Linked DNA regions of Struthio camelus. The protein of the gene in region 2 purifies or fractionates together with the protein of the main gene of each other region. This does not show direct contact. Links are inferred from orthologs where the notes say so. Each region holds a gene or a part of one and is shown on either strand. Other genes may lie near its edges.

What was found. Proteins that work in one complex are often made in the same cells at the same time.
Region 1: the proteins of VPS45 (region 2) and RBSN purify together in Homo sapiens (affinity purification with mass spectrometry; 4 studies listed by BioGRID and IntAct, counting the BioPlex papers as one, with this or other methods). This does not show direct contact. The link is inferred for Struthio camelus from reciprocal best matches to the Homo sapiens genes VPS45 and RBSN.

Annotation. Positions count from the first base shown.
Region 1 is NC_090955.1:453,537-461,450, reverse strand, and holds the start of RBSN (rabenosyn-5), read left to right. Parts: upstream 1-4,912; 5' UTR 4,913-5,011; coding exon 5,012-5,174; exon of another isoform or gene 5,175-5,291; intron 5,292-6,854; exon of another isoform or gene 6,855-7,040; intron 7,041-7,907; coding exon 7,908-7,914. UniProt on the Homo sapiens protein: Rab4/Rab5 effector protein acting in early endocytic membrane fusion and membrane trafficking of recycling endosomes. Required for endosome fusion either homotypically or with clathrin coated vesicles.
Region 2 is NC_090971.1:2,908,015-2,915,736, reverse strand, and holds the start of VPS45 (vacuolar protein sorting-associated protein 45), read left to right. Parts: upstream 1-4,719; 5' UTR 4,720-4,867; coding exon 4,868-4,960; intron 4,961-5,055; coding exon 5,056-5,190; intron 5,191-5,436; coding exon 5,437-5,497; intron 5,498-6,743; coding exon 6,744-6,823; intron 6,824-7,352; coding exon 7,353-7,421; intron 7,422-7,722. UniProt on the Homo sapiens protein: May play a role in vesicle-mediated protein trafficking from the Golgi stack through the trans-Golgi network.

The sequences.
Region 1 (7,914 bases), on a different chromosome or scaffold from region 2:
ACATTCTGATTTTTCCAATCTTTGCTTCCACCAAAAGGACGGAATGAATTCAACACAGTTAGTTGTCAGATATTTTAAACTTTTTTCAATGAGTAAGCCATATTTGTGTAAAAACGCTCCATTGCATTCCTTGAGCAGCAGACAGGCCTTATCAAGAACTACCTCTAGTCTACATTTACCTCTCTTGTGCTGGGATCAGACTCTTATTATTTATCATGGCAAATGCCACTGAGGATTTTACAGGAAGATAAAGAATATAGGAGAACCTAAGTGCAATACCCTTCCGGCAGGACTTTGCCATTGCTACAGAGCTGACTGGCTTCCTCCCCTCACTTGTATCCTCACTAAAGTGTCTCGTCTTGGACATCAGACGCAACGACCAAGTTCGCACCAGACAGGGCCCTAAAATTCACTATTAGAGGTATCATAGCATCTCACGAGATATTATACAACTTTGTTAACTGAATGTTTGCAAAGAACTTTGAGGTCCTTGGATGAAAGCAGGTCAGCTAACATCACAAACAGGACCCCTTCACTCTACTCCTGCGGCAGAGCAGGAGGAGTTATATATGAGAAATGGGGCTTTGCAGGCCAGGTGTTCATATTCCAGTGGCAGAGATGGGGCAGTGAACACGCCACTCGAGCAAGCCTTTGAAACACTCTCCTTTTTTGTATTGCTGCTCTTTCAGTTTGATTCACAACGGCAAATCATTACTGATTCAAATTTAGTCCCCAACAGCATCAGTAGCATTTCTGTAATGTTTAATTGGTCCCCAAATACCTTTTAGATTGCTGTTTCGCATCACCATCTCTTTCCATTGCAACTAGCTGGATGAACCCAAGTTCATTTTTGAAGTAGCATAAACTGGATTGCTTTAGACTGAGATGTTTTTGGACCCTGAACATTCTCTGAGTGGGAAAGTGCGTCTCAATGAGCGGCAGGCAGCCAAAGTCTATTCCCATTCACACCAGCACAAGCCTAGGTCATTCCCCTGCACTTCAGGAGGGATACCTAAGCCCAAATTTGCCTTTGGGAACCAGCAATTACCGTTGACGCATCACGACTACATCTGGCATGCTGACTCTGCATCATTTATTACTTCTCTGATTCTCAGTCTAATAGCGTCGTAAATATCCACACCACAGTGAAGTGGTGCAACCACTCACTTGGTTGCACTCAGCGAGCTCCTGAGGAACTGCTAAAGACCATTTCTGTTTAGAAGTGTGCAAATCTATAGCGTTTTTCTTTCAAAGTGCTGAATGAAATTTCTCTGTTCAAGAGTGACTGACACATGGCTTTTTATCCATACTTCAGTAAGATTCATTTGGTGAGATGCTCTGTTGTAGTCTGTTGTCAAAGGCACAACATGCAGAAGAACGTAATTAACTAAAGATCCAGTGAAGTCTTTGATTTTTAGAGTACGTTGCAGCATGTTAGCATGCTTACCACAACTCACTGTAGGCAGTCCTTCTCACTATATGGTTATCGTCCAACAGCAAGCTATTATTTTAAGACTTTAATCATTGTATTTACCATTTTAATAAGCCTTTAAGATTATCCATCTGAAAATTAGCAGTTACGGAAGCTACGGCAAAGCTTTTCTTTTTTAAGAAAAGACCTTGCTGCTCAGGAGCCTCCCTCTCCCTTGCCCGACTCTTACCACTTCGGAATGACAGGACAGGAGGGGCCCGAGCTGCCAGGGTCGGTCATCAGGGCCTCACGGCCAGGCAGAGAGTCCATCCCGAACGCTGGGCAGCCCCAGCGCTGTGAAATCCCCTGCAGACGCCCGCTCCCAGACCCTCGGCGGTTCTCAGACATGCTTGTTGTGCCATCTGGCGGCAGCCGCTTCTCCCCACCTACCCGCTCCTCGCCACCGCCCTTCACCGCCTTGGCAAGCCACGCTTGTGCTGAACAAGGAACAGAGCAGAACGCACCCCCCCGGCAGGAACAAGACAACCCAAGTGCTAGAGAGCCCCCCCTCCACCAAGCCCTGCATCTGCTCTCGCCTTTTGGGGGGCTTATTCCCACTCTCACCCTTCTGAACTCTTTCCCTCCCATCCAAACATAGGTCTCACTGCCCACCTAGATCTCTCCGAGTCTTTCCAGTCCCCCAGAGACACACGTACTGCTGGAGGAGTCCTTCCCCGGCTCAGTGTGTTACAAATCGCTGGCCTGAACAGAGGCCTGGCCAAAAGGAGCAAGATAACAACCAAGGGGCAGCAATTTGGTTCCCCCTGTCTTGCCCAGAACACAAGCATGGCTCAGTGCTAGGAAACAGCCGAGCTCCAGCAAATCCAGAAAGATCACGACACGTCTATTAATTGAAGCCCCAATTCCACATATAGGTCTATCCAATGAGAAACCCCAGAAGCCTTGATGAGATGTGTACGGTAAAAGGCTTTGCCAGCTCAATATTGAGTATACTGAGTTCATCTTGGCAGGCCTCTTCCATGTGTGGTTAAACCCTTCTCACTAAGGTTGGAAGAGGCCAAAAATATATTTTTCTATACAACAACATCAGTAGAAATGTAAGCTGGTTACTTCTGTTTTTCCCCTTTTCATCCATGAAGTACCTTCCTTCTTTACATATACTGCTCCTTTAAACTCCAGTCCCTATAGATGAGAATTTTTCAAGTTTTAAAATAAAAATCATAACACTTAAAAAACACATTCAGATTTTTAAGAACTAGGGGTACTATAGCCCCTTAACTTAAGGAAAAAAGTTAAGTCATACCTTTAAAAAAAAAGCTTAACAGCTTATAATTTGCCTGACTGCACTGCTAGGAGAGTATCTGATCAGAGTAGCTTTTGCAGCATCCTAAAGCCTCTTCTCAGCTTTTAAAATCAGAGGAATTGAGTCTGTGTTTTGCATGCAAAACAGGAAGGTGATTGTAACTTGTTTTCTACGTTATTTCCATAGCCTCCTGATTCTCTCTTCATAATCGAATCAAGACTGCATTGTTTTGAAAAGCAAAGCATAACGGGTCTCAGCAGGAAACTGCAGATTTAAAAATTCAGATAGTTTGGCTATTTATAACATTCAATTACTCCTCTGGTTAAATTAGTTCAGTTTCAAGACTTTAATTTCTCATTATGCTTTTGATGGATTATGGAACTATACAAGCAAAACAGGTCAAATTCACTGGTGACGTGAAAGGTGCTGAAGATGGTCACATAATAGTCAGCCTATAAAGATGAGATTGCAGGAATGAGAGCAGAATTTAGGACAGCTCACAAAACAGTTTGTGGATAAACCACATATCTCAGGTGGGACCGTTCAATAAATATCCTTTAGCTAAGATTTGAAGACCTTGGGGGTTGGGTACCTAGGAGCAATTTGTGCCTTGGAAAATTCCCCAGGATCCCTGCTGAGAACGGAGATGCCCGAACTTCAGGCATGAGACTGTGGGACGTTAGCAACGATGCTCCACCTTGAACGGATGGGACTTAAGCGTAAGGAGCGCTGCCTGAGATATAGGAAAGTCTCTGCCTTCAAAAGCCTGTAATCTTGACAGATGAAGCAGTTGTACGATTGCACCCTTCTTTCCTCTGCGCGCTGGGGAAGGGGGGACAGCACAGAGCACCGCCCGAGCGAGCAGTAACGAGCATCGAAAGGGGATACGAACAAGCTTTCGTCCTTGCGTCCCACAGCCGTCTGTCGGGCGGCATGGGGCCGAAGCAGGCTGTCCTGGGAGTCCCGGCCCCTGCGAGCAGCGCGCAATCCGGCACGGCCGCCCGCGGCCTGCAACAGCTTCTCTCGAAGGGCGCGGCGGGCTAGGAAAAGGAACCGGGCCGTCCACCCACCCGGCCCTCCCCCCACCGGGCCCTCCCTCCACCCGGCCGTCCCCCCACCGGGCCGTCCACCCACCGGGCCCTCCACCCACCCACCGGGCCTCCACCCACCGGGTCCTCCACCCACCCGGCCCTCCCTCCACCGGGCCGTCCACCCTCCGGGCCCTCCCTCCACCGGGCCGTCCACCCACCCACCGGGCCCTCCCCCCACCGGGCCCTCCCGCCACCGGGCCGCTCGCTCCTCCCGGCGGGATCAGCAGTCCCTCTGCCGCCCGGCCCGGGCCTGCGCTCCGGGAAACGCCGCGCCGGCGCCGGGCCGGGCCCCGCTCCCAGCCGGGCCTCCCGCCGCCGCTCCCGGCGGGGACCTCCAGGCAGCCTGCGGCGCAGGGGGGCCGCCAGCCCCAGCCCCAGCCCCAGCCCCAGCCCCAGCCCCAGCCGGCCCCACGGCTGCCCCGCGCCGCGCCGCGCCGCGCCGCCTCCATCGACAGCTCTGCGCTTGGCAGAGCGCGCCTTGCCCGGCCCCGCCCCCTGCCGTCCGCACGAGCCCGCCCGCCCCTGCCCATTGGTAGCTCGGTGCTCGCCGCCGGGATCCCCGGCGGGCTGGGGCGCGGCCGGCCGGGGGCTGCCCCGCCGCCGAAGGCAGAGACGCGCACCCGGCGGCTGCGAGCCGAGCCGAGCCGAGCCAGGCCACAGCCGGCCGGGGGCTCAGCGCGCCCGTGCTGCCAGCGCCCCGGTGCGCCGTAGGCGAGGGGGAGCCGCCAGCGGCCCGCGACCGCGCGAAGCCCCGCCCCGCCCCGCCCCGCGCGAGCTGCCGACTGCGCCTGCGCGCCGCCGCCCCGCCCCGCGCGAGCTGCCGACTGCGCCTGCGCGCCGCCGCCCCGCCCCGCGCGAGCTGCCGACTGCGCCTGCGCGCCGCCGCCCCGCCCCGCGCGAGCTGCCGACTGCGCCTGCGCGCCGCCGCCCCGCCCCGCGCGAGCTGCCGACTGCGCCTGCGCGCCGCCGCCGCCGCCCCGCCGAGAGGCGCCGCGCTGCAGGCCCCGCCGGCCCTGGCCCTGGCCCTGGCCGCTCGGCCCCGGCGGCGCCGCTGGAGGACCGGGGGGCTCCAGCCTTGCGCCGCTGCCGGTTCCCTGCAGGCGGGGCGATGCCCGCGCCGCGCTGCCCGGCCCCGGCCGCGGCCGCAGCTCGGCGGTGAGCCGTGCCCCGCGGACGGCCCTCGCCATGGCCTCCAGCTGCCCGCCGCCTTTCGGCGACCCGGGCGACGTGAGAGAAGGGTTCCTGTGCCCGCTCTGCCTCAAGGACCTTCAGTCCTTCTACCAGCTGCAGTCGCACTACGAGGAGGAGCACTCCGGCGAGGACGGGGATGTCCGAGGGCAGCTCAGAAGTGAGGCCTGGCGGCGCGTTTGGCGCTTTCCTTTTTGTCTGGTAAAATTCCCTGCAGCCGAAGCTGCTGGTGCTGCAGACCCTCAGGATGGCTAGTAGTACTGAAATACTAATGGAAGTGAGTTACGGCGGGGGCAGGGCTCCGTTTCCCCGTGAAAGGACTTACGCTAAGGCGTAGTTAATACGTTATTCTTCACTCGCTACTTTTAGTGGTGTTTTAGAATTTACATACTGAAAGTAGTCACTTAGAAGGCCTGACTCTGCAGGTATCTGATTGCGTGTACTGTGTACATGTTATTGGCTTTGTTTATTTATTTTTTAACCTGAGCACTCTCAAATTCATGCTGTAACCCAGATAAATTCTTCAGCTAACACTTGGGATTTCACAGAACATAGGTAATCTCCGGTCTTGCCAGGTACCAACTCATTAATCCCCTATTTCTGACAGTGAGGCGAAGTGTAAAGTTAAGGACGGTTGGTGGTAGATAAACATAGACAAGAACATGGCTGGAGGTGCTGGCTGAGGGAGGGCAGTAGATAGATGCTGAGAGTATCCCAGAGTTGCGCTCCAGATCACCAACTTTCACTGGTGTCTGGAAAATCCCTTTGGATTCTTTTTCAACTAAAATACTGCTTCCTTGGTTTCTCTTTTGTCTACACTGTGTCATTTTTACATGGAGAGAGAAATGTGCAGAGCAGTGGGTATTTTCTGTCTTCCTTGCAAAAATCTTTTCATTGTTACTTTATTATAATAGAGATAGCACCCTGGCAGTTTTTAATTTTTACCTTCTTTTTTAATGAGATTGGTGGCTATTGTTTCAAAAGTCTCTCTTGTAAGTGAAGTTCCTGTTTTTAATAACCTATCTTAAGAGTAGTACGATTGAATGTTTTATTTAAAAAATATATGTACAACATATATTTTATAAAAAGTTGCTTTCCATCAGTCTGGCTGCTACTTGGCTTTTAGCACTGTGCTCTTCTTGGACAGTGAAGGCAGACTGGTCAGTACTGCATCACGTTCTCATCATGGGCACAGTGCTGTAATAGCTGAATCGCAGGCGCTTCAGTGGAGTGTTTAAACCAGAACAGCAATAGGGTTTGCATTGCACTAAGAGGAAAGAAAACAACAACAACTTAGGCTTGGTAAGATTTCCCAAATGCTTTCTTTTATTTAATGCAGAACACCTGCATTTTGATTTTGTTCTCTCTGTAGTATTCTTTTAAAGTAGTGTATTGCGCCTTCTCAGGCACAGGTCTTTCATCTGTGTGTTGATATCAAGAATGTTGTTTTTATTTGCTTACTTTCTGTCCTAGCTCTACCCAGTGAAGTCCCTCCCAGACAGAAGGCCAACAAAACTATCTTTTCCCTTAAACAAGGGACTAGAGTTCAAACCGTATATCACGAGTAGTTATGTGATTTTGTGCCGAATTCAGAGTATCCTAACTGTGGAGCTATAAGGTGACTTCTAGTCATTTCTAGTACTTTGAGTGAGTCATACAGAGGTACTTGTGTTTGATTTTGTTACGAAAGACATTATGAAGTCTGCTTGAAAACCTTTTGTGTCTGTGGCAAAACCATGAGGCATCGCGAATTCTTTTTGTGTATGTCTCACTTACTATATTTCCTGTTTATATGGTGTAAACCTCACCTAAGAAACTGCAGTGTTCAGCTAGCATTTGCCATGTTGCCTTGGGAGTATTTTGGGGAAAGGTGGGAGGAGAAATCCTGTTTCTGCGATGATGTTACAATGCTAGCAAAGCCTTTGCCAGCCTGACGGGGACACAGCTTTGTTGACAAGAGTGTTTCATTTCAGTGAGTGTCGTTTTGTGAGGAAGCATAACTTCAGCAGCTGAAAAACTTCAGTTAGTAAGTATGATGCCTGCACGAAGGGGTGCTGCTGGCACAGCTGTAGTGACTGAAACTCCCGAACAGAGGCTCTGGTGCAGTTGAGGTGGAAGTTCTAGTGTTTTGGATACTACATAAGGAAAGTAGAAACCTGAAGGGACTTGCTAACTCATGGTTCCCAGCACCGTGTCAGAAACCTTGAAGTATAAAAGACTTAATTCTAGGAGAAATTGAATGTCTTCTGCAAGAAAATTAGCACCCTTCAAATTCTGCTAGCTTCCAAAGAGGAACATAGCTGCAAGGGGGATAAAAGCTCTCAAGTTTCAAATTCCTAGTCCTCCTTTTGGCCCAGTAGACTGTCCTCCTCTCACTAGCGTTACTATGAGGTAACGGAATGGGCCGCATAGTACTTGGGAAACTATCTAGATATAGTTTGCAGTTAGTACAAAAATGGAGAAAAGAAGGTTCTGAGCATCCTTGAATCCTCAGAAAATCATTCGGAATGAAGAGCTGTTATATGTATGGTGGCCCAGCATGTTATGGAGTGGGTCTCATAAGTTAATGCTGCTTTAGTCAACAGCTTACTGTTTTGCAGTTAAGTCTCAGAATGGTGCGTCTAAAACTACTGCTTTGTCATTAGGAGCTTAGTGCTACTTTATAACAGACAACAAACACCGTTTCATATTGGCTGTGGTTCTCTGGACCGTGCTCTGGTTCCAAACAGGCTAGGTTATATTGGCGTAAAAATCAAAAATATTAATAATAAACTTGTCATCAAGGAAAAAGACTTGTGCTCAAAGATCAGAGGAGTATTCTATACTGGCTTCAAATGACAAATATTCAGTGACTAACTGTCGGGTGCTTGACATGCGGGTCTGTCTTTTCCAGATCTAGT
Region 2 (7,722 bases):
TTTGGGAAACCTCCTAGAAATGCACCCAAAATGTCCGTTTTATTAACTGGCAAAGAATCACCTTATCACCTCTGAAAAGCTTGGTTTTTCTCTTAATAATTCACCCAACCTGTTCAGTTAAAAAACAGTTCTGTAAAGTGATGACTTAACGCATTTTCTCATGTTATTATTCTGAGAGGCGTTGGTAAAGCAAACGTTTCCCATTGCTCACCTCACATGTTTGGTCTGGTCCCTCGGTGTTCTCTTATCTGATAATTTAAAAATAGAAGTACAATCATTTTAACATTTCAAGTTCCCTGCAGACTGTATGCTTGACCTCCTAGTTTTAGCTTTGAATTCAAAATATTTTTGCTGTAATCGCTTTTAAACTACAATAATACTGGTCAGACTCCTAATATTATGCAAATGTTTTCATTATAAGTCAGTTAATAGTATGGTGGCTATAACGTAGATAGGAAGTACATCACTGTAGTATGTAACCGAGCAAATACATAACAGTTTTATATAGAAGGGAGAACATGCTTTATAATTATATTCAGCTGTTCTTTCAGTTGCTAAAAATAACATACCTGGGCCATTCAGAAGCTCCGACTCTTCATACTAAACAAGAGATACAGTTCATTTTATAAGCAATCATAAAAAGCTAGGTATTTTTTATGAGGCTTAGAAAGCCCACTTTGGAATTTACATAGAAGTCTTGCACTTCTTATATGCATCACTAGCAAGTGTCTCTCTAATGCAGGTGGACGAGATAAGGCACCAGTTTATAATTTGTTTTCCTTTGCTCCATTTTGGGATACAGATTTTTTTTTAACTGTTTCTGACGCTTGTCCAATCTCTACAAACAAATGGCACGAACTCCAATCATTTTTACAATTAATGTCTCTAGGGCTTCCTTCCTTTGCCCTGACTATTTGTCATGTCACTGCAGCATTCAACAAAACTGTATCTTCAAGAGGACATTTAATCTCATTAAAACCCTCTCCAAATTGTTTATACTACTGATATATTTACCCAGAAATTGGTGACATTTAAGTAGTTGGATATCTCGCCAGAAAGTCTCTCGATCTCACTTTGAAAACAAAGCAAAATGCAAATAAATGTGTTACTTGTCAGAATGATTCTGAAGTACAAAGCTGATAAAGACATCAATTTGTCACAGAACTTTAGCCACCAGAAATTGGACAGATTTATTAATCAAGGGTGAAATTCGCTCTGCCCTTCTAAACCACAAAGCCACATTAGTTTAGCTCAGCTGTATATCATTTTAACTCAATGTAAGATAATTCTCATCCTTACCTTTTATACTCTTCTTTCCTTAATGCCCAATCTAGGAAGAAAAAGGAATGATGCATTATTTTTGCTACCCAAACTAAAAGATGAAGCTCCGTCTAGCAAATTCATAGTAAACGTCACTATTATTTTCCAACCAGATGGGTTGGAGAGATGGGGACAAATTATTCCACTGATATCTTAATAGACTTTTCTTTCATTTCAGTGTGTTTGGCTATGAATGATATATGTGCCGGACTCTGCAAAATGTCATACACTGATTTCAGTGGTGGTTATTGCAAAACTCGGGCCTAAGGCAGATATCCGTTCCACACAGAGTTCTACACAAATTCCCATTGGCTTAAATGGAAGCTGCAGATATTCAACACTTCTGCAAATAAGAATGATTACTAGGTAAGAATTTAAGTAGCCTAAGTTACATTTAGATCACATCTAGCTCATTTTATTAGCAGCTAGTTTTATAAGTATACACAATTCCTTTTTTTCATTATTTTCCTTCCATGTTGCGGTATTAAAAGATTGTTAGTAACAGATGTTTGCTCTTCAATTCAGTTGCTAATTTAGCAGATATCAACGACAGAGAATTTCTCATTGGGAAATGCTTACGTGCATTTCAGATAATATACCTTTTGTTTTATATCGCAGTCTTGAGTTCTGAGGAAGAGAAAACAGAATGAAACAGCATTGGGCACAAATACAGAAACATTAACAGTGAAGTTTCTGTGTACTAGAGAAATCAAAAGTGTTAAATTGATGTGTGTGAATATTCCCAGGGCAACTGCAAAAAAAAAGTCATACAACAAACTGCCTCCAAATTTAAATAAAAATGTAAAACGTGTACCGCATTTTTTAGCTTCCTATTTTCTGTCCTCAAAGCATCAATTTCTTGGACCTAGTATAGAAAAAAAAAACATAGTATTTTGAACATTAAGATCAGTATCAACTCCGTACATCCTTAACATCAGCTTTCTTTAGGGCTGATTAAGCACGTCTGTCTGATTTAAAAATACCTACAACTTTGTCCTTTAGTCTTTAGGTTGCATGACGTTCTGAATAACAGTAAGAAATTGATGCCAAACCAATAACATCTCATAAAGTTCATAAACATTGTACTGGCACTGGTTCTATTCCTGCAATGGTTGATGGCTTTCCAGATGCAAGCAAGAGTACAAAAACATCAGGTTATTCCAGGGGTAAGGGTCTTTTCTTTTTCTTGTTTTTTTTTTTAAGTTATAGTGTAAATACTGAAATTTACTACCAGAGAGCAAAAATGACAGCAGCTAGATGTTTGCTTATACATGTTGTATATATTGTGGGGAGTCAGTTTTATCCTTATTAAATTATACTTGTAAACAAACTACAAACAAATCCAAGTGCATTAATTTGCATACTTGGACGAAAGGGAAGGATTTTAAGACTGTGGCCGTCTGCATTATTTTGAAGATACAGTTGGATTTTTTTCTCCTTCTAAGCCAAGCTTATAGGACTAGTGTGTAGACACTTAGGCAAGCAATCTTTTACTGTATTTGATAACAAGCAAAAAGATTAGTTCCACTGTTGTCCTGCATGTTTAGTGTCACTTACAAGCATGAGGTAACTTTGGCAAAATAAGGTCTTGTCTAAACCTTAATGTGGTACTGCTTTAATGCAGTTCTTTACAGCAATTATATGTATTTAAAAGCCAGACTTTTTCAGCTCCCTTCATTGTTGAGACCTACTTTTTCCTCAGCACCTGCCTGAAACTGCTTAGGGTTTTTTTTGCCTACAGTAACTAGAATTTCTAAATTGCCTCCCATTCATTCACTAGAAAGGTATAGTGGCTTGTATGGAGAGAATATATTAGTTGTATTCAGCTTAATATAGCCAGGAAAAGCGTGACACTTCTTAAAAACTTAGTTACACTGCCATAGAAACTGCATGAACAAGCTTCATGTCTCTCATCTCCATATATAAACTTCACTTCTATAGTCTGCATACCAATAACATATTGTGAATGTCTCCAAGAATGCTTTTATAAGTATTACTTACAGACTGACTGCTGTCTAAAAAGGAACAGATTTCATGGACAAGTCTCTTTCTCTGATCTTTATTTTTCCTATAAAATACAAAAATTTTAAGCTATATCCATATTTCCGTAATGTATTTTGACGTATATTAAATGTAAATCAAGCAGAACAAAAGATGAACTATAAGCGTGAAAGAGTTCCTTTGTGTCAGCTTTTATGAAAAGGTACTTACAAGATTTGCAAATAGCTTTCATTTTTCATCAGCACCTGCTCACCATTTTCTGTATAAAACATGCACGTTATATGATTACATTTTTATAAACATAATAGCCCTTTTCCAAAATTGTCACACTCGGGAATAATAATAGCAGCGGAACAAATAGCACAGGGACCCATTGCTTCAAAGGTTAGCAAAATACATATCAGCTCCCGTCAACACGATTTACGCCATGAAGGTCAACCGCTGCGCTCCCCGTCCTGAAGAAGGGGGACGCGAAGGGGGACGCTGCCCCAGGCCCACCGGGCCGGGCCGCGCAGCTCCGATCACGCTGCGTTTCACGGCTCCGGCCTCCTCTCTCCTCCCCTCAGTACCTCTGTGGGTCCATTTTAAAAACACACAGATTGCAAATTGTATTTGCCTTTGGAAGGAGCTTGAAGGAGCTGGCGCGCTGGCACGGGGCGTAAACTTCAGAAGCTGCCTGGAAGCGGAGCAACCGCGCGAAGAGCGAGGGCCGAGCTCTGCCATGCTGCGAGCGCGGGCCCGGCGCCGACGGGCTCGGGCCGCTCTGGGGGACCTACCCGCACCCCCGGCGGCACCAGAGGCGGCGGGCGGCTTCGCTGGCGCCTGGCGCACCCACCTCGCCCCACGCCGAGCTAACGCGGACCAGCAGGAGCTCCTCTGCGCTAGCTCTGGCGGGGCTGGAAGAGGCCGAGGCCTTCGCGGAAGCGGGTCCCGTTTGCGGTTGCTTGGGGGGTTGTGTTAGCGACAAATCATCGGTTGGATACAACTGGCCTGATTACGGTATGCAACATCCAACAGAGATGTTAACACATCTTTGTTTTACCTTCCCCTTTGCGGTAAAGCACGACTCACAGAGGCGACGCTGGGAAGCTGAGCACCCACCTTGCTTTTCGAGCAAAGGCATTTTGGAAAGGGGAGCTGGCACTAGAAGAGAGGTTAGTTTAGTCTCACGTTACTGCCTCCTCCCCAGGACGCCTCAGCCCCCCCGCCGCTGCCAGCCCGGGGAGGGGCCGCGGGCCGCTCCGCAGGCGGCTCCGCTCCCCACACACCTGGGCCCCGGCAGCGGGCGGCGCGCGGCAGCCGTTACCGGGGGGCGGTTGCGGGCGGGGGGGGGGGGGGGGGTGGCTGGTCGAGGCTGCCCTCCGCCCCGGCCGCGGCCCGCGCCGCGCGGCACGCCGGGAGTTGTAGTCCGGCGCCGCCGCGGCTCCTGCTGGCGCTGCCCGGCGGCGCCCGCCGCTCGCGGACTACAAGTCCCAGGGAGGCGGCGGGCGGGGGCCGTGAGGGCGGCGGTGCCGAGCCGAGCCGAACCGGGCCAAGCCGAGCCGAGATGAACGCGGTGCTGGCCGTGAAGCAGTACGTGTCCAAGATGATCGAGGACAGCGGGCCGGGCATGAAGGTCCTCCTGATGGACCGGGAGACGGTGAGCGGCGGCGGGCCGGGCCGGGGCCGGGCAGCGGCCGTCGAGCCGGGCCGGGCCGGGCCGGCTGTAACGCGGCCTCCTGTGCCTCGCTGCAGACCGGCGTGGTGAGCATGGTGTACACGCAGTCCGAGATCCTGCAGAAGGAGGTGTACCTCTTCGAGCGCATCGACTCCTTCAACAGGGAGACCATGAAACACTTGAAAGCGATTTGTTTTCTGCGGCCCACCAAGGTAACGCGCTTCGCAGCTTCTCGCCCCGGTTGCCCGTCCCTGACAGCTCGCGCGTATCCACGGCCTCCATCCCGCAAGCGCTTCCGGGCCGCCCTTTGCAGCTGCGACTAGCGTGGCACTATTTAGCGGGACAGGTAACGGGAAATCGTAGGTCAAAACGCGGGACGGGGACTTGATGAGTCCAATCGCTCCTTTCGTGGCAGGAGCGCTCTGTAAATCCGCTCTGTCTGGTTCTGCTTTTACCAGGAGAACGTGGAGTACCTCATCCAGGAGCTGCGCAGGCCCAAGTACAGCATCTATTTTATTTGTAAGTGCGTTCCATTTTGTCCAATAAGTTAGACTTTCCAGTCAAGGGACCGATTGGATGATCGGTGGAAAATGCTGGTGTGAGACGTTTACTAAAATGTTTTTGAAGTTCATCAGTAGGTTATGTCAGTTCCATTATAATACGCTCAAGCTTGATTTAAGCAACGTGGAAAGTGTGTGATCACCAGTCAAATTCTTTTAGCAAAGGGTATGTATATATAAGATAAAATAATTAAACTGAAGGAACTTCTTTTACAAAGGAACACCATAAGTATGTATTACTCTCATACGGTTGTTTCTGAAAACATGATGTTGAACATGAACATGAAGGAAGGCTAATGCTGGGGGTAAAGTGCCTTTTACTAGAAGGAAAACTGAGATGCACAGGATGAGAGACTGGCCCAGGTCTTTAAGGTAAATGATGTTGGAGTCAGTATTAGAATAGTCTTCACATTCCAGTGTTGAACTAAACCTGCTACCCAGCATCTTTTAACATCCGGCATAACAGGCAGGTGTTTCTCACTTGTCAAGTTCATGCCACAGAATATTATGTAGTTTTGGAAATTAAGCAGAATAGCTAGTTTTGTGTTCAAGTCTGGTCCTCTAGGAAAGGCATCACGCAGTTCTGCAAGATTCTGGGAAGTGAACTTAAGTGGCCTCTAGATGTCATTGTGGGTCTGCAGGAATGCTGTGCAGGAGGAGCAAAGCTGCCTCCTTGGGAGTGAGGGGATACAGGTTTATAAAGGATGGTGGTGACCTAATATAAATAAGCACAACAATGCCTAGAGCTTCAGCAGAGATGTCGGTGTCATTGTGTTAAGCAATTTAGTACCACCTTTTACCCATATAAATCTACCGAGTACAATAGTGCTGTAGATGGTGTTGCCTAACTGGGCGTAGGTTAGGTCAGGGAGAGGGTACGAGAGAGCTGTCCTTGCTGATACTGATGTGTCCTGCTGCATGTGGAATTCATGGTCTCTCTCAGTGGCACATGTTGGTCCTGTGCTGCAGTCATATACTAGATATGAGCACCAGAGGCACCAAGTTGGAGAGAGAATTAGTTGAGAATATCTGTGTAAAGTAACAACCAGATTATAATGCCGGCATAATAATTGCAGGTGTAAAGTCAAATGGTCTCTGCTGCAATGTGCTTCCTGTTCCAGTGGAAAATCCGGTCATACTGTTCTGTGATTTTCTTGTGTTACGTGTTACTCTCAGAGCCTGATTTCACTGTTGTTTTCTTTCAGATTTCAGTAATGTGATCAGTAAGAGTGATGTCAAGTCATTAGCTGAAGCTGATGAACAGGAAGTTGTGGCAGAAGTTCAGGTGAATTTTGAATACCTTAAATAGATCTTCCCATCCAAAAGCACTAGCAAAGCAAATGTACACGCTAACTAATTCAGGTGTGGCTATGAAAGGTCCATGTGGAACAGTATGCAGAAACATTGTGCAACAGTCTAGGAGTAGAAGCAAAGAGGAATGTACGCATGGGATTAAAAAAATAAAAGAAAGAAAACTGTATGTGTCCTCTGCTTCTGCTTGCCCTTCAGTTGCCAGAGCTTCTGCTGGTATAGTTAGCATCTGTGTTTCAGCAAGGCTGCTGCATTTGTCTGTGTTATTGACAAAGAACTACATATGAAAAAAATGGATGGCAGAAATTGGCCGTGGAGTTGTCAGCAGAAGTGTAGGGATTTGCGAGGTTAGGCATGGAGGAAGGAGAAATGATCAGAGTCAACAGGTCTGTGCATTGCTTAGGATTTTAGCATGAATATTGCTGATGTTGGAATGCTTACACTTGTAGGCTGAATAAGGGTTGGCAAGACACTTAACTGTATTTGCTTTCACTTGTTGGCAGGAGTTCTATGGAGATTACATTGCAGTGAATCCACACGTTTTTTCTCTCAACCTCTTGGGCTGCTGCCAGGTATGAAAAAAAGCTAATGCTCCTCCAGGGCCTTGTTTTATGGTTAACAGAGAGGCCACTAGCGACAACAAACTGGGCACCGTGGTGGGTTGCCCAGCAGACAGATTGCTGTTTACAGTCCGTAAGGGGGTAGCTGATCCTTAAAACCTGATCCTGAAAAAGGGAGGGGTATATCGGGGAATCTGGATTGTGGCCTTTGGTGTACCTACTCCTTCAGTCAAACTACAGTCTACCTATAAAGAAACAAGACTTTTATCTAAGAAAGTGTTTGGGGATGGTGTAGCCATATTAGATGCACACT